Linked DNA regions of Stegostoma tigrinum. The protein of the gene in region 1 interacts with the protein of each later gene in a pairwise test. Links are inferred from orthologs where the notes say so. Each region holds a gene or a part of one and is shown on either strand. Other genes may lie near its edges.

Evidence for each region. The genes of interacting proteins can lie anywhere in the genome.
Region 2: the proteins of intersectin-2-like (region 1) and KH domain-containing, RNA-binding, signal transduction-associated protein 1-like interact in a two-hybrid assay, tested with the Homo sapiens proteins (2 studies listed by BioGRID and IntAct, with this or other methods). The link is inferred for Stegostoma tigrinum from reciprocal best matches to the Homo sapiens genes ITSN2 and KHDRBS1.

What each region holds. Positions count from the first base shown.
Region 1 is NC_081357.1:74,089,174-74,099,782, forward strand, and holds the start of intersectin-2-like, read left to right. Parts: upstream 1-6,644; 5' UTR 6,645-6,799; intron 6,800-10,609.
Region 2 is NC_081377.1:837,750-848,242, reverse strand, and holds the start of KH domain-containing, RNA-binding, signal transduction-associated protein 1-like, read right to left. Parts: upstream 5,094-10,493; 5' UTR 5,050-5,093; coding exon 4,959-5,049; intron 43-4,958; coding exon 1-42. UniProt on the Homo sapiens protein: Recruited and tyrosine phosphorylated by several receptor systems, for example the T-cell, leptin and insulin receptors. Once phosphorylated, functions as an adapter protein in signal transduction cascades by binding to SH2 and SH3 domain-containing proteins.

The sequences.
Region 1 (10,609 bases):
GCCTCAATACAGTCAAACAGCATGGACACAGACCCTTCAATGAAACTCATCCATGCCAACCAGCTTTCCCAAACTAAACTAGTCCCATTTGCCTGTGTTTGGCCCCTTTCTCTCTAAACAGTTCCTATTCATGCTTTTATCCAAATATCTTTTAAATGTTGTAACTGTACATGCATCTGCAACTTCCTCTGGTAGTTCATTCCAATTAAACACCACCCTCTGTGTGAAAAATTTGCCTCTCAGGTCGCTTTTAAACCTTTCCCTGCTCTGAGCAAAAGACCTTTGCTATTTACCTTTACCTATGCACCTCATGATTTTTTAAACCTCAATAAGGATACTCGTGAGCCTCCTGTGCTCCAAGGAAACAAGTCCCAGCCTCTCCATACAATCCAAACCCTCCAGCCCTGGTAACATTCTTGTTTTATGCACCCTTTCCATCTGTATCTATTTACCCTCCCCCAGTCAAGATAAATTCCACATTTTCTATGATGCTGTCAGTTCTGAAGAAGGGTCATTGGACCTGAAATATTAACTCTGCCTGTCTCTCTGCAGATGCTGCAGACCTGCTGAGTTTTTTTCACCAAGTTCTGCTTTTGTCAGGTTAGCTCAGTTGGCTGGGTAGCTGTTCAGTGATGCCAATAACATTGCTTCAATTCCAGTATTTGCTGAAGTTACCATGAAAGATTCTCCTCTCAACCCCTCCCCTTTCCGAAAATGTTATGACCCCCCCATTAAACCACCATCAGTCATTTTTCTCCCTCTAAATAGAGTGTGGGACATTGGCAACTTTTAGTCAAATCAATACATTTGGATAAAGGTAGGAGAAAAAAAATCAAAGACTATAAGCAGAAAAGATGGGGAAACAATAACTCCTACTAAAATGGTTAGAATTTTTTAAAATGGAAGTTTGCCTCCTCTTGATCATTTCTCTACTTTTTTCCCTAGAGATGGGTTCAGAAGTGCAAATCCGTCAGTTTCTGATTTCAATCAGTAATTAAAATGTTGATTGTTTTTTGTCAAATCTTAAATCATAGGTAACTTGACCCCTTGCATGAGCATAGCAAGGATGAATTACCACAACTTCAGGCGGTTACATGGAGCCCAGGTGCTGTATATAATCAGGGCATTTGTAGATGACACAAAAGGTAATCCTCTGGTAAATAGTGAAGAGGAAAGCCTTAGACCACAGGACAATATAGATGGGCTGAACAGTTGTGAATGAAATTTAATACTGAAAACTTTGAGATGATGCTTTTGGGAGGAACAACAAGGCAAGGGATGCAGGTTGAATGTAGAATCGTAGGAAGTACAGAGGATCAGAAGGACCTTGGTATGCATGTCCCTAAATCCTTGATGGCAGCAGGTAGATAGATAAGGTGGTGTAGGGGGAAAGTGGGACACTTGCCTTTATTAGTCAAGGCATTGTACATAAAAGCAAGGAGGTTATGTCAATTCAGAGATAGTAGAAACTGCTGATGCTGGAGAATCTGAGATAACCAGGTGTAGAGCTGGATGAACACAGCAGGCCAAGCAGCATCAGAGGAGCAGGAAAGCTGACGTTTCAGGTCTGGACCCATTTCTGAAGAAGCTCCTCTGATGCTGCTGGGCCTGCTGTATTCATCCAGCTCTACACCTTGTTTTCTGAGGTTATGTCAAAGCTGTTTATAATGTTAGTTGAGCCATGGCTGGAGTACAATGTGCAGTTATGATGACCATTCTAGAGGATAATTACACAATAGAGACATAAAAGAAATTCAGCAGGATGTTGTCTGGGGTGGAGTGAAAAGGCTGAGGTGAGATCTGATTGAGTTCTGAGAGGCAAAGACATCATAGATAGGGATAAACTTTTCCTCTCATTGGAGGGGTAAATAATTAGGGCCACAGATTTAAGATAGGAAACAGAAGGTTTAGAGCGGTTTTGAAGAAAATTTTTTTCATCTAGAGGATTTTGGGTGTCTGGAACTCTCTGCTTGAAAGAATGGTAGAGGCTGAAACCCTCAGAATATTTAAGTAGTTTTTAGATGAACCCCACTTGAAACACCATAGCAGACAAGACCAAGTGCTGTAAAATGGGATTAGAATATATGAATGTTTAATGACCAGCTGTACACACTTTCCAAGCTGTAAAGATTCTATGACACATATGTTGAACTAGGATTAGAAAGGCAACTTACTATCAAAATTAAGAGAAACTTCAGAGTGCTTTTGTGCAGAGATATCTGTTGCAGAAAACAATATGCAGGTACAGCAAGTAATAAGGAAGGCAAGTAGAATTTTGCCATGTATTGCTAAAGGCAAAGAGTATAATAATAGAGAACTGTTGCTACATTACAAGACATTAGTCAGACTGCACCTGGAGTATTGTGTGCAATTTGGTCCTCTTTCTTGAGGGGAGATGTGATTGTATTAGAGACAGTTCAATGGAAGTTCGTTGGATTGATTCCACAGAAGAAAGTCTTAGGAAGAGAGATTGAGCAGTTTAGGCCTAAATTATCCAGAGTTTTAAAAAAATAACAGGTAGTCTAATTCAGATATATAAGATATTAAAGGGGATTTACAAAATAGACACAGAAAGGATGTTTCCTCATGGCATAATTTAGAATGAGAGGTCATAATTTTAGTATAATGAATAACAGATTTAACACAGAAATGAGGAGACATTACTTTTCCCAAAGGACCATGAATCTGTGGAATTCACTATCCCAGAATTAGATTGATGCTGTAACATTCAACAAATTTAAAGAGGATGTAAACAGATTTTTATTTAGTTATGGGTTGAAGTGTTCTGGAGAGCAGGCCGCAAAGTGAAGTTGAGGCTGAAATAAAATCAGCCATGATTGTATCAAATCCTTGCCTACTCCTGCTTCTAGTTCTTATGTGCTCATGTTCTGGCAACGTCAACCTTAACAGTGTGACGTGAATTGCACTGCACTGCACTAGGCAATCTTGTAGTCGGTTGGCTCACTGAACTGGTTTGTTGTTTCGTAGACGTTTCATTACCCTGCTGGGTAATATCATCAGTGCAGCATCCAATGAAGCGCCCTTGTGTTTCCCCCCCTGTTATGTGAACTGTGGAGTTCATTAAGCTGGATTACGAAATGTCTGCGAAACAACGAACCAACTCGGTGAGCCAACCAACTACATCCACAACCCAAGCTCCAAATCTACTTGAAAACGTAGCAATCTTGTTGAATTCCATGTTAAATATTAGAGCTGCCCACTGCTTCTTACATTTTACCTTGCTTCAGATTACTAAATCATGTTTAAACCTTTTCCAAGTAGACATTAAAGCAAGTATTGACTGCAGTTTATGGTGTAAAAGTGAACTGTGGTTGCTCAGTATACAATGCATATTTGTATGATTTGAACTGTTAATTTGGGAAATGGGTCTTTTTTTGAATTGCAGATGGTTGGTTTCATTGTGTAGTATTATCATTGAATCCCCACTTTTCCCATGACAACTTATTGTCCTTTTTCAGATGGGCTCAACTTTGTGCATCTATCTCTACATGTTTAATGAGATGGCCTGAAGAGGTTAGCTAACTTAAGTAACAAATTGTATGAAAGTATTGTTGCAATATGTATTAATTTTGTAGTCTTGCCAGATGTACAGATGCATCTGACCTACTAAAGTTTTTGCTGCTGTTTTGTTTTGCTTTGCTTCTGATACTCCCTTCCCTGAACTTCTGTAATTTTTCACACTGACTTTGTAATGTTGCTGCTGGCCAGTGTCCTCCCTTTCGGAGTACTGCCCTCTTCTGATGTGTTTTAATCTCTATACATGCTGCTTTAGTCTCTGCACTTTTTTAAAAATACTTTTTCAAAACTTGTTTACTCAATGCTAACTCAGTTTGTGACTTATTTTTCATTGATACACAGTTCTTTCTTTGACTTGCTAATTCTCACTTTGCACACTTCTTTATTTGACACACTCAATTTACTTGGAGGAGCATATTTTCTTTAGCATTGCAGTCTCGCTGTGAACTGATCTTAGCATTCAGAGTCACAGAGATGTATGGCATGGAAAGAGACCCTTCGGTTCAAATCATTCATGCTGATCAGATATCCCAAATTAATCAAGTCTCGTATATTGTAACAGCCTCTGTCACTTCTTATGACAGCTCATACCATCACACATACCACCCTTTGTGTGAAAAAGTTGCACTTCAGGTCCCTTTTATGCCTTTTGCCTCTCAACATAAATCTGTGCCCTCTAGATTTGGACTCCCTAACCTCGGAAAAGACCTTGGCTATGCACCCTATCCACGGCCTCATGATTTTATAAACGTCTTCAAGGTCACCCCTCAGCCTCCGACAGTCCAGGGAAAATAGCCCCAGCCTATTCAGCTCCTCCCTATAATTCAAACCCTCCAATCCCGGCAGTATCCTTGTAAGTCCTTTCTGCACCCATGCGAATTTAGCAACATCTTTCCTATAGCATGGGGACCAGAATTGAATGCAATTCTCCAAAAGTGGCTTAACCAATGTCCTGTAAATTTCTTTTTAAATGTTACTTTTTGTGCTGTGTCTTTTGTTTTCCTGCATTGCTGTCATTGGGCATTATTATTATTCACATCAGTTATGCATTGTCCAAGCAGCCAAATGCTTTTAGCCTATATTTGTTTAGACAGGCAGGTAGAACGATGAGAAAATTGTATAGGTAGTGTCTTATAGTCATACAGCACAGGAACAGACCCTTCAGTCCAACTTGTCTGCATCAACCAGATATTCCAATCTGACCCAGTCCCTTTGCCATCATTTGGCCCATTTCCCTCTACACCCTTCTTATTCATATAACTATCCAGATGCCTTTTAAATATTATCATTGTACCAGCCTTCACCACTTCCTCTGGCAGCGTGTTTCAAATGTTACCCCTCAGGTCCTTTTTAAATCTTTCTCCTCTCGCCTTAGACTTATGCCCTCTAGTTTTGGACTCCCCCATCTAGAAAAAAGACCTTGTCTATTCATCCTATCCATGCTGCTCATGATTTTATAAACTTGTATAAAGTCACTCCACAACCCAAGGAAACCTAACCAGATAAATAGAAAGCGGGACATAACACCAGCGCTTTGTCGGAGGCTCACTGATGATGTTACCTAGAATGGTGACGAAACGTCTGAAAACTAACCTTCCAGCTCAGCGAGCAAACTCACATCCAGAACCTCAACCTGAGCTACAAATCTTCTCAAAACTCGCTATCACTCCACAACCTCTGACACTCCAGGGATTTGGTATGCTTACCTTTATTGGTCAGTGCATTGAGTATTGGAATTGAGAGGTCATGTTGTGGCTCTACAGGACATTGGTTTGACCACTTTTGGAGTATTGCATGCAATTCTGGTCTCTCTCCTGTAGAAAGAATGTTGTGAAACTTGGAAGGGTTCAGAAAATGCGTACGAGGATATAGCTAGGGTCAGAGTGTTTGAGCTATAGGGAGAAGTTGAATAGGCTGGGGCTATTTTTCCTGGAATGTCAGAGACTGAAGGGTGACAATATAAAGGCTTATGAAATCATGAGGTAAGTAGATAGGGTAAATAGGCAAGGTCTTTTCCTGGGATTGGGGGATTCCAAAGCTAGACCTCTAGAGGGCAGAGGTATAAAGTCACGTAGGAAAGATATAAAAGGGTCCTAAGGGGCAGCCTTTTCATGCAGAGACTGGTGTGTGTATGGAATGAGCTGCCAGAGGAACTGGTGGAGGCTGGTATGATTACAATATTTAACAGACATCTGAATGGGTATATAAATAGGAAGTTTAGAGGATGTGAGCCACATGCTGGCAAATGGGATTAGATTTATATAGGATGTCTGGTCAACATGGACGATTCTAGTTCTGTGCTGTATATCTCTATGACAACATTCAACTTCTCCCCAGAGCTCAAACCCTCCAGTCCTACCAACATCCTGGTAAATCATTTTTGCATCCTCTCACGTTCAACAACATCCTTCCTATATTTCAGTGTTTTGTAGTGAGGTTACAGTGATAAGGGGTGAGGTCATGGAGGGATTTGAAAACAGGATGCAAATTTTAAAATTCAACTTTTGCAAAACTGGGGACCAGTGTAGGCTGACCAGCAATGGGCATTATTCTTGAGTGGAAGTTCATGCAAGACAGGACAGAGGCATTAATGTTTTGGAATATCTCAAGATTATGAATTGTAGGTGGGGAGGTGATGGTTTAGTGGTATTATTGCTCAACCGTCAACCCAGAGAGCTAGGTAACGTTCTGGGGACCTGGGTTTGAATCCCACCATAGCAGATGGTGGTATTAGAATTCAATTAAAAAAATCTAGAATGGAGAGTCTAACGATGACCACGAATCCATTTTCGATTGTTGGGGATAAAAAAAACTCATCTGATTCACTGACGTCCTTTAGAGAAGGGAAGTGCCGGCATGTGACACCAGACCCAAGGCGATGTGGTTGACTCTCAACAGCCCTCTGAGCAATTAGGGCTGGGCAATGAATGGGGCAATAAATGAATGCCAGAAAAACAGCATGAGAGGCCAGCCAGAAGTCTCTCTCCCTGTCTCCTCCCTCTGTTTTCTTTCTATCTCCACACGCCTATTCTCTGTATCTCCTCCCATTGCCCCCAACCTCTCGTTATCTCCTCCCCAGCCCCGTCTCTCTCTCTCTGTCCCGCCCACCCCCATCTGTTTGTCTGTATCTCCTTCCCCCTCCTCCTGTTTCTGTGCTGAGTTCTCTTCCTGTCTCTCTGGTTGTCAGCGCCATGTTACTGTTCTGACCGCGGATCAGCAACAAGTCTCCGGAGGAGGGCCGGACAGGAGCCTGCGGGAAGAGGTGAGTGAGACTGGGCACCGGCGCCGGGCCGGAGGGGAGGCTGTGCAGGGAGACCCCGGGGCCGGAGGCTGCCTGCCCGGACACTCCAGGCCTCAGTTTCCCCCTCCCCCGGACGGACCGGACCGTCACCGTCCGGCAGGTGTCGGGGACAGTGACCGTCCTCGGGCCCGACGAAACCACTCCGTATGGCGGATTCCAGCCTTGGATCGTTATCTGGGGCTGGGAATTAAAGGGCAACGACTGGGGCTTGGTTTGTGTATGAACAAGAAATGGTTATTGTTTGGGGTGTACGGGAATAAGTTCAGGCTTGTCATTTCAGTCTGTTTTCTGTTTTGACATTCACAAACGGGCAGCTTGGTCACTCAAGTTCACCGCAGAATCGGCGAGGCTGGTCGTTTTCCCAGGCTGGCCAGTGGCTCAGTATCTTAACCAGCTGGTCAATTTCCTTACAGTATTGTACCTTACCAGATTAGTGAGGACTTAGTACCATTTAAACACTGATCGTACATGTTGAAATGCTACAGTCAGCATACATGAATATTTCAAAATTTGGTATATTTGTATTGATTTTTAGAAAATATGAGCATTCCTGGGCAACATTGTTAGGAAAATGCAGACAGGTTTCTTGGTCACGGATCTTGTTCCATCAGAACAGGATAATTATGAGCCCTGAATTCAAGTCCCACGTGCTACAGAAGTGTGTAATAACATCTCTGAACAGGTTGATTAAAAATATCTACATCTGTGGCCACAAGGGGTCCTGTGGCATTTGACAGTGTCCTTACCTCTGGGACAGAAGGTTCAAGTCCTGCCTGTCCTGGGGGTTTGTCACAACATGTCTGAACAGGATGATTAGAAATAACTACACCTGTGTCCTCAAAGATGGGATCAGACTTGGCTGTGATGCATCACCTGTCCTTTAAGATGTCCCTCCATCCATCCATCTGCAAGGTTGGCATGTAGTATGTGGTCACTCATTTTCTGGCCTTACATGTGATGGAATATCCCCTCGTGTTTTGCTGGAGGTTCCACCACGTGATGAAACTGGCAGTTTTTTGTCATATTAGAAAAGTTCGGACATTTGAAGTCAAGTACCTTGGCTTCAACTATATAGTTTAAAAGTACCTTTTGTTATTAAATACCCATTTCTCACTGTTTATAGTGTAGGAATTTAGAATCCAAGATAGAGAATTCTTAAGAGTGGGAGTAACCGGTCATATATATTGTATTATTAAATTAACTAACCCTGTGAACTGCAAAATTTCTCCCCCTGCTATTTTGTGTGGATTTTCCCAAGTGAAAACATGGAAAAAGTGTCAAATGCTAAAAAAGGCATTGCTGAGCCTTTATTTCTATTTTGAAGTAGCTTACAGTAAGGCTGCCAGCAGCAGTTTTTCTGTGAACAATCACGATATGGAATCAATACAAATTGTGTTTTGTGACGTAGACAATACCTGCCCAGTGGAGGAAGTCTTGTGACATCATGAATTGAAATTTTATTTTCAGTGGCTTAACATCCTGTTTCAAATCCTGAATCTGGCTGAGTTTGTAATATCAGATATTTCCCTATAACCATGATAACCTGAAAGAATGATCGCCATTGTTCAGTAAATTATATAGAGTTCTCTGTGACGGTGTAGAATTGACTTAATCCACTCAACTGTCGTGGCAGTAGGTTAGTTGGAGCTGTCTATGGCTGTTGAATCGTTGTGGGAGGGGCAGGGTTGGAATGCTGGTAAGTTTTCAAGTGCTACTGATTTGGATATTTTGAGTTGTTAAAGTACCAATTAATTGACTCGAATGAGATTTGTAATGTACTAATGAAATTAGGCCTGTAGGTGTCTGAAACTGTAAGTCTAAAGTTGAGCTTGTTTTCTTAAAAATCATGTAAAATCTGAAAATTAGCCTTTTAAAGTGACTTCAAAGCTATTATTTTTCAATAATAATAACATAGCACAAATTGCAATATAAAACTCGTGGATAGAGTAATGATTGGTATTGGCAGAACACAAGATAATTTTGGCTGGATGGCTGATTTGCGATGCACTGTGATGCCAACAGCATTGGTTCAGCTCCCACACTGGCTGACGTTACCGTGAGCAATTCTGCTTCTCGACCTCTCCCTTCATCTGAGACATGCTGACCCTCTGGTTAAATCACCACCAGTCGTCTCTCCCTACTGAGATAATCCTATTGCCTGGTAGGACGACAGCAACTTTATGTTTGCTTGATTTAGACATTGGCAGGAATAATGGAATGTGTACACTAAAACAATGTCAACTGCTCAATCTTCCACAATTTTCCTTTGGTCAAGTAAAGTCAACCAAAACTACTTCACTGTCTACCATTCGATTCTTCATTACATGACTGAGCACTTTGCCAGTGTTTTGAAATTGTACGAAAAAAATTCACTATTTAAGTTGAGATAATCTGCTTAAATTCTTGTTTGAGGTTCTCGAAGATAAGGTTTGATTTTACTTCATGAATGTTGATCTTTGCAGATTCAATTTTACTGTCCTCATAATAGGCTCATGACACTTATTTATGCATTAAAATTCACTTTTGTTTCATTCATATCTCTCTTCTAGCTCTCGATTCAATCCCGCTTTCACCTGAATTCCCTGTACTGGATTCTGTATTGAATCCTATTTTTACTTATTTCCTTTTCAGCTTTTATGCTAAGTTCTCAGTTGTTCAATTTGATTGATTAATGAGCTACCCATCTGCTGGCTCTGTTCACCTACATCTGAGGTGGTCTGCTTGCTTCACTATGCTGTTATCACCTTACTTATTCAATATTATATAAAGAAAGGTGTAAAGTTAGACTAATATCAGGTGTCATTGGGTGTTCGGGTACTAGAAGATTTGTTCCATACTACCATATGTATGACGAAAGGATTTGCATAATTGGTCTTACAAGGATTATTTTTGGAAAGATATGCTGTGATATTCATTAGAATTTGTATGCTACACCAATTCCATGTCTTTCACTGTTCCATTGTCTGTTACAACTTTTCAAAAAAGTTAATGTTCCGGGATAGTACGGTTGGTGTCTCAAATATGTTTGCCTCGGTTCTATATGGCAATATATTTTGTTATAATGTCCATCTGTCATGCAACAGATATTGTGTGTCAGATTCCATACTTTATTACAAGTAATACACCTTTAAGACAAACAAAATAAGCTGTTGACCTGAAAATTTGTTCATGCTCAGAGATAATGGGAACTGCAGATGCTGGAAAATCCAAGATAACAAAGTGTGGGGCTGGATGAACACAGCAGGCCAAGCCTCATCTTAGGAGCACAAAAGCTGACGTTTTTGTGTCCTAGTCCTCACATACCACCCTACCAACCTCCGGATACAACACATCATCCTTCGACACTTCCGCCATCTACAATCCGACCCCACCACTAAAGACGTTTCTCCCACCCCACCCTTGTCTGCCTTCCGGAGAGACCACTCTCTCCGCGACTCCCTTGTCCGCTCCACACTCCCCTCCAACCCCACCACACCCGGCACTTTCCCCTGCAACCGCAGGAAGTGCTACACTTGCCCCCACACCACCCACCTCACCCCATCCCAGGCCCCAAGATTACTTTCCACATCAAGCAGATTTTCACCATGCTCATCTGCCAATGTGGTATACTGCATCCACTGTACATGGTGTGGCTACCTCTACATTGGGGAAACCAAACGTAGCCTTATGGACTGCTTTGCAGAACACCTACGCTCGGTTCGCAGTAAACCACTGCACCTCCCAGTTGCGAACCATTTCAACTCCCCCTCCCATTCCTTAGATGACATGACC
Region 2 (10,493 bases), on another chromosome or scaffold:
TTTCTTCCTCTTTTTTCTCTCCCTTCTGAACCTTTTCTATTTCTACAAGGAGAAATTGGAATTAAAATTCCTCCACATTCCACAGTAGTGATGAAATAAACAGGTAAAACTTTAGTTAGGAGAAACATATAAAAATGAAAACAGTTAATTTGCAGGAAAGTACATATGAATGGTTGCGAACTGCCACTAAAATTCCAATTTCCAGCAAATCTCCAAATGCACTCCAATTTTCCAGCAATGAGGATTCTCAGCTTCTAGGATGGCGATGGTGCAGGTCGCAAAAGGAAGGCATTTCTCAGTGAGATCAGGAGAACGTAGGAGGTTTGAGGGGTGATTTTAATGAGTCTTATAAAATCCTGAGGTTCAAAGATAAGGCGACAAGGGTCTTTCCCAACAGCAAGGGAGTTCAAAACTATTTGAAGGTGAATGCAGATGGATTTGAAAAGGACATGAAAGGTAACTTTTTAAACAGAGTGGTTCGCGTGTATAATGAACTCTCAGAGGAAGTGGTGGATGCAGGTGCAGTTAAAACATTTAAGAGACATTTGGATAAGTTCATAAATAGGAAACGTTGAGAGGTACAGGCCAAATGTATACACATTGCTTCAGACACCACACAAATTTCCACTGTTTTTGGCACTTCTAGAATCACATATTAAGTTAAAAGATATAACTTTATCCAAACTTAATACTTATGCCTGCTGCACTGAACACACCCTTCAATTCACTGAAGTACTGCAATTGAATGCAATCTAGAGCAATAACAGAGTTTAGTTTGGGTACACTGCCAGCTTGGATTGATTGGACCGAATGCTGTTTGACTGTACCCTCTGCTCTTCTACCCCTTTAGAATTGTGCTCTATTTAACATTGCCTTTACCAGTTAATCCTACCAAATGCAATTCTAGAATTATGTGGTTTTGCATTGCTGTATTCATATACCACTTGAAGTGTAGAAGACAGGCACTAGAATAAGCAAAAAGCTAGTGAAACAACCTGTTCTGCAGCAGCCCAAAATGAACACACACCCCAGGAAACAGAAGAAAAACAAACAATTTCATGTAATTTAATGCAGAGAATATAGCTAGCTGTTAAACATTCCCCAATTTTCACAAGATCCATTCTCTTTAATCAGTGCCCAATACAGTTACAGCAAACTTCAGTTCTCACAGGGCACAAATATTTGAAGTGGTATTTTCACACATGACTTGAGATATAAATTTGACACAAATCATGCAAGAACCAGAAGACTTCCTGCCCTAGACAACATGATTACTTCAATAGATGTAAGATCACTATACAGTTACAACATTAAAATAGTCTCCTGATTACTGCACTGACTAGGTGTTTACAATTAGAAATGAATTCACTCTAGCTGAAAGCCTATGTTGGTCTGCAACACAGCATAAACTCATCACATCACCAACGTTTAATGTGACATTGAAAATTAATGACATTCCCACAGTCCCAGGAATGCAAGACAGTGTACTGGCTTTTAAATCTTGCACTGGATCTCTAGTTCACCTTTGTATAAAGCCTTGCCCCTTCTATGTTTATATTTATGCTCTAGCTTTGATCATTTATCTACTTTAAACTCTGAAGGCACAAACTTGCACTGAAGCTTGGTAAAGTGCCAAGCAAAGTCACCACACATGAAACTTCTGAAAAATAAAACCGCAAATATTTATTCTTACACTGTATTATTCATTCTTCCTGCATGATAGCTACTACACATTTCTTCAGACACCACACAAATTCCCACTCTGTGTTTCTAGGCACTTCTAGAATCACATATTAAGTTAAAAGATATATCTTTACCCAAACTTAATACCCACACCTGCTGCACAGAATATACCTGTCAACTCACTGAAGCGTCTGCAAATTAATGCAATCTAAAGCAATAACCAAGGACAGAACAGATTCTCATTTAACGTGGAGTTCCTGCAGTTTCTGTTTAAAACAATTTCTAGCTAACATTTTAACTCAAATCCTAATTACCAGTCTCCAGAAAGGTTTACATTTCTCTATCACATTGTAAAACCCAATATATCCCAAAGAGATTCACTGCTAACGTGCATATCAACTCCACAAACAGCAATAATGATATAGTGCTGGTTGACGGTTTGTGACATTAATGGAAGGTTACATATTAGCATTTGGTACAACACCCCTGATCTTCAAAACAGTCAAAAATCACAGATTATAGTTTATATAGGTGTTGTATGATTTTTATCTTATGCACCCAGTCCAAAACCAGCACCTCCACATCATGGCTACCATTGAAACCTTAAAAATAGTCAAACTAGCATCTACCCGAGGGACCAGAAGAAGCCTCAGTTTACCACCTCCTAAAGACAATGACTCCAGTACTGTTCAATACTATACTATAGCAGTAGACTATTTCAATGTCTCAGTCCTGGAGAGGGATTTGAACTCAACCCAAGTAGCGGCAGACACTAAAGCAACAACTAAATCCTTCCGATTAGCCAATAAACACAGTTAAATAAAAACACTGTCAACAGAAACCTCATACAATTAAAATTCATTTAAAAAAAAACAAACAATTTTAGATTATATGAAATACACTGGGGAGGCAGTGACCTAGAGGTATTATCGCTAGACTGTTAATCCAGAGACCTAGATTACGTTCTGGGGATCCAGATTCAAATCCTGCCACGGCAGATTGTGGAATTTGAATTCAATAAATGTCTGGAATTACAGAATCCATTGTCAATTGTCATAAAAACCCATTTGGTTCACTAATGCCCTTACGGGAAACAAAGTGCCATTCTTACCTGGTCTGGACTACGTGACTCCAGAACCACAGCAATGTGGCCAACTCTGAACCGCCCGCTGGGCATTGAGGGATGGGCAATAAATACACCCGAGCCTTCAATGCCCTCATCCCATAATTTATGGTATACCTTTGGACTTAGTTCGTTTGTTAAGATAGAATATACCACAAATAACCGCAGTAAGTGTCATATAACTCAAAACATTGACTCCGTTTTCTCTCCACAAATGCTGTCAGACATGCTGTGTTTTGCCAGCAATGTATTTTTGTTTGTTTCAAACCTCAAAGCATTACAGCACTGGTTAAGAAGTAGTCATCTATACCACAATCATGAGTTTTATATTCTCAAACGATAATGTCCCAAGTCCACACGACATGTCTAGACTGCAAGACACAGCATTTACCCAACCATGTCAGCCCTGGCTCTATGAATGAGAATTGCACTGTGCCATCTCCTTGCAACCCTGCTCACTGCTTCAAGAAACAGGAAATGACATCACCAACACAGGAAATGACATCACCAACCCAAGGAAACCTAAACAGATAAATAGAAAGCAGGACGTAACACAGCGTTTCGGAGGCTCACTGATGATGGTACCTAGAATGGTGACGAAACGTCTGAAAACCACCCTTCCAGCTCAGCGAGCAAACCCACATCCAGAACCTCAACCTGAGCTACAAATCTTCTCAAAACTCACTGTTTCAAATAAATAACTCACATTTAAATGCCTCAATTGAACGTGCCTACAACACAGGCAGAGTATTCCATATCCAAAACATTTTCTACTTGGAAAGGTTTTTCTCGTTGCTTTTCAAAAGAAAATGTAAATCTATGCCTTCTCAGTCTTGATCCTATGCCGAACATGATGACAAATAAAACTAATCCCTTCTGCCTGCCCTTGTTGCATATCCCTCCATTCGTCACATGGTCATACACCTACCTAGAAGTCTCCTAAATGGCCTCAACATGTCTGCCTTCAACACCACTCCAGGCAGTGCATTCGAGACTGCTACCACTGTGTAAAAAAAAACTGCCCCTCACATGTCCTTTGAACATTCCCCCGTACCCTTAAATACAGGCCTCTAGCATTAGACATTGTAACTCTGGAAAACACGATTCTGAACATCAACCTTATCCACGAAATCAATTTTACAGACTTCTATCAAGTATCCCCTCAGCCTCTGCTGCTCCAGAGAAAACCACCCGAATTTTTCTACTTTTTCCTTACAGCTCATATCCTCCAATCCAGGTAACATCCCTGTAAACCTCTGCTGCACCCTCTGCAAAGCCATCACATCCTTGCCATAATGTGGCGATCAGAACTGAACACAATGCTCTTAAGCATGTCAATGATTTGGAGGGGTCCAACAGATGTTCTCTCAATCTTCTTTCCTTTACGATAAACAGCCTTAATTTCTTCAATACATTTACACGCAGAAAGTCCTGTTGTTTGAGACCATTCTCATTACTCTTTTCTGCACCCTTGGCAGTACCTTTGCATGCCTTCTAAAGTGCAGAACTAGACAATTCTCCAGCCAGGAAGACAAACATGTGCCCCATGCTGGTTCAACATCTACTTCTTGCTCCTCAACTATATGCCCCTGCAAAAAAAACCTAGGATACCATTATGACTTATTAGCCAAGCTCTCAACTTGTCTGCAACATTTAAGGTCCTCTGCAAGTATACACGCAGGTCTCTCTGCTCCTGAAACACCGTAAGGTGACTGCCCTTCATTTTACAGTGCACTCCATGGCCTTCCAACAAAAACTCTTCGCATTTCTCCTCACTGAACCACTTGTCTACATCCTTTAGAAGTTCTACATCACGTTCCCCAAATTACACTGCTTTAAAATTTCTTTTCGCCTGCAGATTCTGTCATTTGCACCAATGTCTACATCATTAATTAGTAATCTAGAAAAGCAAGAATAGTCCGGAGATTGAGGATCGGGAACTAGCAGTAGGGATTGGGGGGGGGGACGACGACGAACAGCACGAATCGGGGTGATTTCGGGATCGGTTTCGAACCCCCACCCCTCCCCCACGCTCCGCCCTTTGTTCTCCACGGGGCCGAGGCGACGAAGTACAGGCCCGGAGGCCATCGCAGACCTGAACCTAAAGCTCCAAATCCCGCCCACACAGCACTGGCAGAGCCCTACTCTTTACCTGCAGCCAGTAACCTGCTTGCATGGACGAAGGACGGGTCCAGACTGTCCTTCTCCGCCATAAGTTCGGGCAGATATTTCTCATTCGCCATGGCCGTTCACTCCGCTTCCTCGCACACCGACAATGCGCCTGCGCAGCAACTGCCGACTGCCTGATGGTGAGTCCCACCCCTGAGCTCCCATTGGCCACATAGCTGTCCATCGGAGGCATTCTCCATACCTACGCGCTTAGGTAACTGTCAATCATATATTATCCCACCCATATCGATGACACCGTCTCCCGCTCTTATTTCCCGCTAGCTCGATGGCTGGCTGACCTGCCAATCATAGAGCTTCCCCGCCAACTGGTATCAACAGGAATGCCAAACAACCTACTGGAGGCCACCCTGTTCCGCCCCCCTCTCCGACCGTTGTAGGGGGGAGAGTAGGTTCAGAAAACGGGGGGAATAGAAGGAGAGGGTTGGGCGAGGATACAGTGGAGGATACAGACGGACCAGCTGGAGGATAGAGATCTCAGTGGGGGAACCAAGACGCGGGATCATGGAGTAGATAGACCACGTAGGGGCACACGTGAAAGGGCGGCTGGTGTGAAGGACAGAGATCATCCGGGAGGTGGGTGGTGGAGGACAGGTACCATGGGAGTCATGATTGTGGAGGAGGATGACCATGTTGGCGGCGGCGGCCGGGGGAGGGTCTGCTGCGATGGTGAGGGTCGTGGAAGGAAGGGGACCCTGGACAGGTGTCAAGGAGGAGGAGAGGCGTGTGGAAAAGAGGGACCGTACACAGGGGGTGGGAAATGGAGAGGGGAGAGAGCACAGAAAGTTTGGGAGAGGAGAGAGACCATTGGGAGAATGTGGAGAAGACGGGTCGGGGGGGGGGGGGGGGGGCGGCGTGCGCAAGGAGTAGTGAGACTGCCTGGGGTGGGTGTGGAGGAGAGGGTGTGCACCCGAGAGGTGAGCGTGGAGAAGAGGGGAACAGAGGACAGCGAGTGCAGGGATGGGAGGATGTGCAGAAGAGAGAGAGAGAGAGAGATCATGGTGGAAAAATAGATTAGGGTGGAGAGAAATACGGGGGTGAGGAGAGAAGAAGGATGGGCTTTGGGGGATGGGAAGATTGAGAGAGAATGGGGGGGGGGGGGGGGAGAGAAACCAGGATGAGAAAAAGGACAAAACTGAGGAAGTTTGAAGGACAGCGAGATGGAAAGATAGAAAGAGAGGGAGAGGCAGAGAGATGGAGAGAAATTTTAGGAAAATGAGTGAACTGGTGGAAGAGAGTGAGGGAGCGAGAGCCAGGGATAAGATAATTCCATGATGCTGGCATTCCATCTCCAAGTCACCTTTTAATTACACATGCACGTTACCTAACTCTGGTTAGCACTGCAGCCTCACAGTGCCAGGGACGTGGGTTCAATTCCAGCCTCGGGTGACTGTCTGTATGGAGTTTGCACATTCTCCCCGTGTCTGCGTGGGTTTTCTCCGGGTGCTCCGGTTTCCTTCCACAGTCCAAAGATGTGCAGGCTAGGTGGATCAGCCATGCAAAATTGTCCGTAGTGTTCAGGGTTGTGGGGGATGGGGATGGGTCTTGGTGGGATGCTTCAAGGGGCGGTATGGACTTTTTGGGCCGAAGGGCTTGCTTCTGCACTGTAAGAAATCTAATCTAAAAAAAACACTGACTCAGTTAGTTCAGTGCTGGCTCTTAAAATGAGCAGAAACCCTGACGCTTCTATTTATGTCTGTCAGCCAGGACTCCCTGATTGAACCTGGTTAGCAGCCCTAATCAGCAAACACATATTCAATTAGATCCACTTGGCTGACCTACTTCCAGCCACTACACCCATCTCCCCCCTCCCACTTCCCTAGGTGCTGGGACTTAGGCCCGTTCTTTTTCCTGCAGCTTTGCTTGTGGAATTTTTGCTCCAGGCCCGGTTCTCTGACTCTGCCTTAGATACTGGCAAGGTATACCAGGCCATAGCTCACCTCTTGGGTCCGAGCGTCTCAGCCAAAACTCATCTCCCTGCCCCCAGTCAGATGTAAACTGGTGCAGAGTCTTCACCCCATAAGCAACTCTGCTGGAGCTGTCCCTTTATTTACATGAGTGGTGGTCCTATAATCAAACAGGAACAGGACAGTTTGGCATAAAGTAGGCTGCTTCTTTAAGCCTGTCTTCGAGGTTTGGACTGCTCTTTTCACGAGAGCATTGGATAATAGGTGACTTGGAGCTTTCCTTACATGCCGAGTGCCATTCACCTTTAGAAAATATTTAAATTCTCTGCTGGTAAATAATGGCCTGTTATCTGTGACCAACACCTCCTGGAGCCCATGTATTGCAAAAGATACTTTTAACTTTTCAGTCATCGTCCCAGTGTTTGATGAATGAACTCTATGCATGTCCAACCACTTTGAATAGGCATCCACAATCACTAAAAGCAGAGGGTTATGAAAGGACCAGCATAGTCGACATGTAACGGAGTTCATTGTTTACATGGCCATTCCCATAAATGTGATGGAGTTGCTGGCAGTAATTTTTATCCTTCTTGGCATTCTGAGCATTGCCGGACCATTGTAGCTACGTCTGCATCCAATCCTGGCCACTTGACATAACATCTCGCCAACATCTTAATTTTGGAAACTCCAGGCTAACACAGGTGGATCTCAGCCAATATCTGGCAGCAATTTCTGCTCAGAACAATGCGGCCTTGTGTGGTCCAGAAGGTTTCAGTTCTGGTTATATTGGCCCTTTTGTTTCCCCCATCGCTACCAGCTGTTTTAGTTTTGCTAGGATGGGATCTTTTCGTGCTCATAGTTGGATATTGTCAGCAGTAACCTGAAGGGTGTCCAGAAAGTTTAAAACCAGAACAGTCTGTTGTAGTGGCACCATCATTGGTGGTGTACCTGCCAATAGGAGGTGGTTGAAGGCATCCGCATTTGCTACTTGTCCTCCTAGATGGTGTTCCAACTTATAATTATGTGTACATAGAATAGAGCCCACCACTGAATTCAACCTGAAGCCTTGTCCTCTTTGAGTAGCTGTATACTGTTATTATTACAAATTTACATTCATAAAAATATTGGTGGAACTTCCTCACATCAAAGGTGACCGCCAAGCCTGCCTTCTCTATCTGGGCGTATTTGCGCTCTGCATCAGCCAGACTTCAGGAAGTATATGCTGTTGAGCTTTCCTCTCAATTAGGCCATCTGTGAGCCAACACCACCCCGTTACTCTTTGGGGAGATACCATATGTCAGCACCATATCTTGCTTGGGATTGTAGTTGCCAACACCTTAGATGACCATAGCTGTTTTTTCACTTCTTTAAAGGCTACATCTTGACTCTGAGACCATTTCCAAGGCTGACCCCTTTTCAACAGCAGGTGTCAGGGTGCCAGGATGGAGGCCAGGTTGCACATGAATATTCCGTCATAATTCACCAACACAAGGAAAGCTCTGGTACAGACATGTGAGCCAGGGCACCTTTGATCGCCTTCACTGTATCTTACAACAGGTAACCTGATCTTGTCGACTCTGTAGCCCAAGTAGAACACTTGGGTGTGTGGAATATCCATTTTTTCCTCCTAAGGAGTATCTCTGCCTTGGAGAAACAGTCAAACACTAGGCCTTTATTGGTTTTCCCAGTTATTAACATGTCATCCAGATAATTGATGACCTGGAATTCTTAATGGGTTTGACAGGTTAAATGTTAGGAGGATGTTCCCCTTGTGGGAGAGCCTACGACAAGAGGACACAGTCTCAGAATATATGAGCCTCAATATAAGACTGAGATGAGGAGGATTTCTTCTGTCACGTTCTAAAACAAGCGCTGTTCAACTGGAACTCAGTTACAAACTAAAATTGAAGAAGAATAATAGAAAAATAAGATGGTCTCAACAATATGCTGGTCACTGTTATCCATTAGAAGCCCATTAACTCGCAGTTACCTTCGCCAAACACACCCTCACCTTCTGTAAGGACTCTGTTTCATTCTCCCAGTTTCTCCATATGTTGCATCTGGTCTGATGCCACCTTCCGCAGGGTGGAGAGGCCTTCAGATGTCCAATATTTTCCTCAACCAAGGATTCCCTGCCACCATGGTCAACAGAACCCTCAACCATGTCTAATCTATTTCTCTGCTTCTTCCCTAACCACTTCCCACGCACAACTGTTTCATAGAATCCCTACAGTGTGGAAACAGGCCCTTTGGCCCAACAAGTCCACATCAAGCCTCAGAGCATCTCACCAAGACCTATCTCCCCATAACCTACCCAATCTGCACATCCCTGAACACTGTGGGCAATTTAGCATGGCCAATCCACCCAGCCTGCACACTTTGGGCTGTTGGAGGAAACCCACGCAGACACGGGGAGAATGTGCAAGCTCCACACAGACAGTCGCCCAAGGATGGTATCAAATCCGGGCCCCTGGTGCTGTGAGGCAGCAGTGCTAATCACTGAGCCGCCTATGTTTGGGTGTGTCCCTAAATCCTTTGGAGATTGTAATCCCAAGGAGCCGTTTTACTGGAGCAAAGCCTGGCCGTGTGTCAAGGCAGAATTTTTCCTGCCAAAATACACTTATCTCTTAATGAACTATTCATGAACAACCGATGTGAGATTGTTCTGTCACGGATGATTGTACAACCAAAAGCAAAGGCTTTGCAGCAACCATTGTCATGGGTTTGGATTTATAATTTATAGGTAGTTTATTTACTAATAGGAGCAATACACAGTACAGGCTTTTTGTAAAATAAGCAATAGATTAACTAAGATGGAGATGTTTAGAAAACAGCAACCCTTCAAAAAGTCACAGCTTGAGAGTACTTCAGGAATTAGAGCAACAGTATTTTTAAATGAAATATTAAAATGTAGAAACATAGAAAACAGGAGCAAGGGTGAGCCATTCAGCCCTTCAAATCTGCTCCACCATTCGATATGATCACAGTTGATCATCCACCTTAAGACAGCAGGAGAACACTGATGTTTATTGGTTTATTGATATTATAGTAAGGTATGAAAATGAGGAGTTGTCAATCATGAACGTTTTCTCCGCACGTGATCAGGCTGAAAATTGGAAGTCTAAGAGGCTGGGAGACATGGCTTCACCTACATACCATAGTAACTCTACACAAAACTCCCATTTGTTTCAGAAAAGCTGCCTGTTCGCCACACTGGCAGCGGGCAGGGTGGGTGTTGGGATATACCGAGAATAGGAATTTGGCACACAGATAGCTACTGTGGGAAATGGAAGGCCCTTTGTTCTGGATAATGAGAGTCTGCAATCTGCAAATAGATATTATGGACTGCCACTCTGCTGCTTTGCTCTTGCACACTCAATGTTGCGATCAACAGAAAGGAATTTTTCAATGCTCATGCAGCAAACTTTGATAAGTTTCCGATGGGTGCAAGCCTGCTTTGAATCCTGTTGCCTTGGTAACTGATCCTCTTTCCTTTTTTGGTTTCCATTTGCAACCGGTAGCTGCTGACACCAGCTATCCCTCAGAACCACTCTTCATCTTCCATTGGTTTGGTTGGGACTGGCTTGTCACCT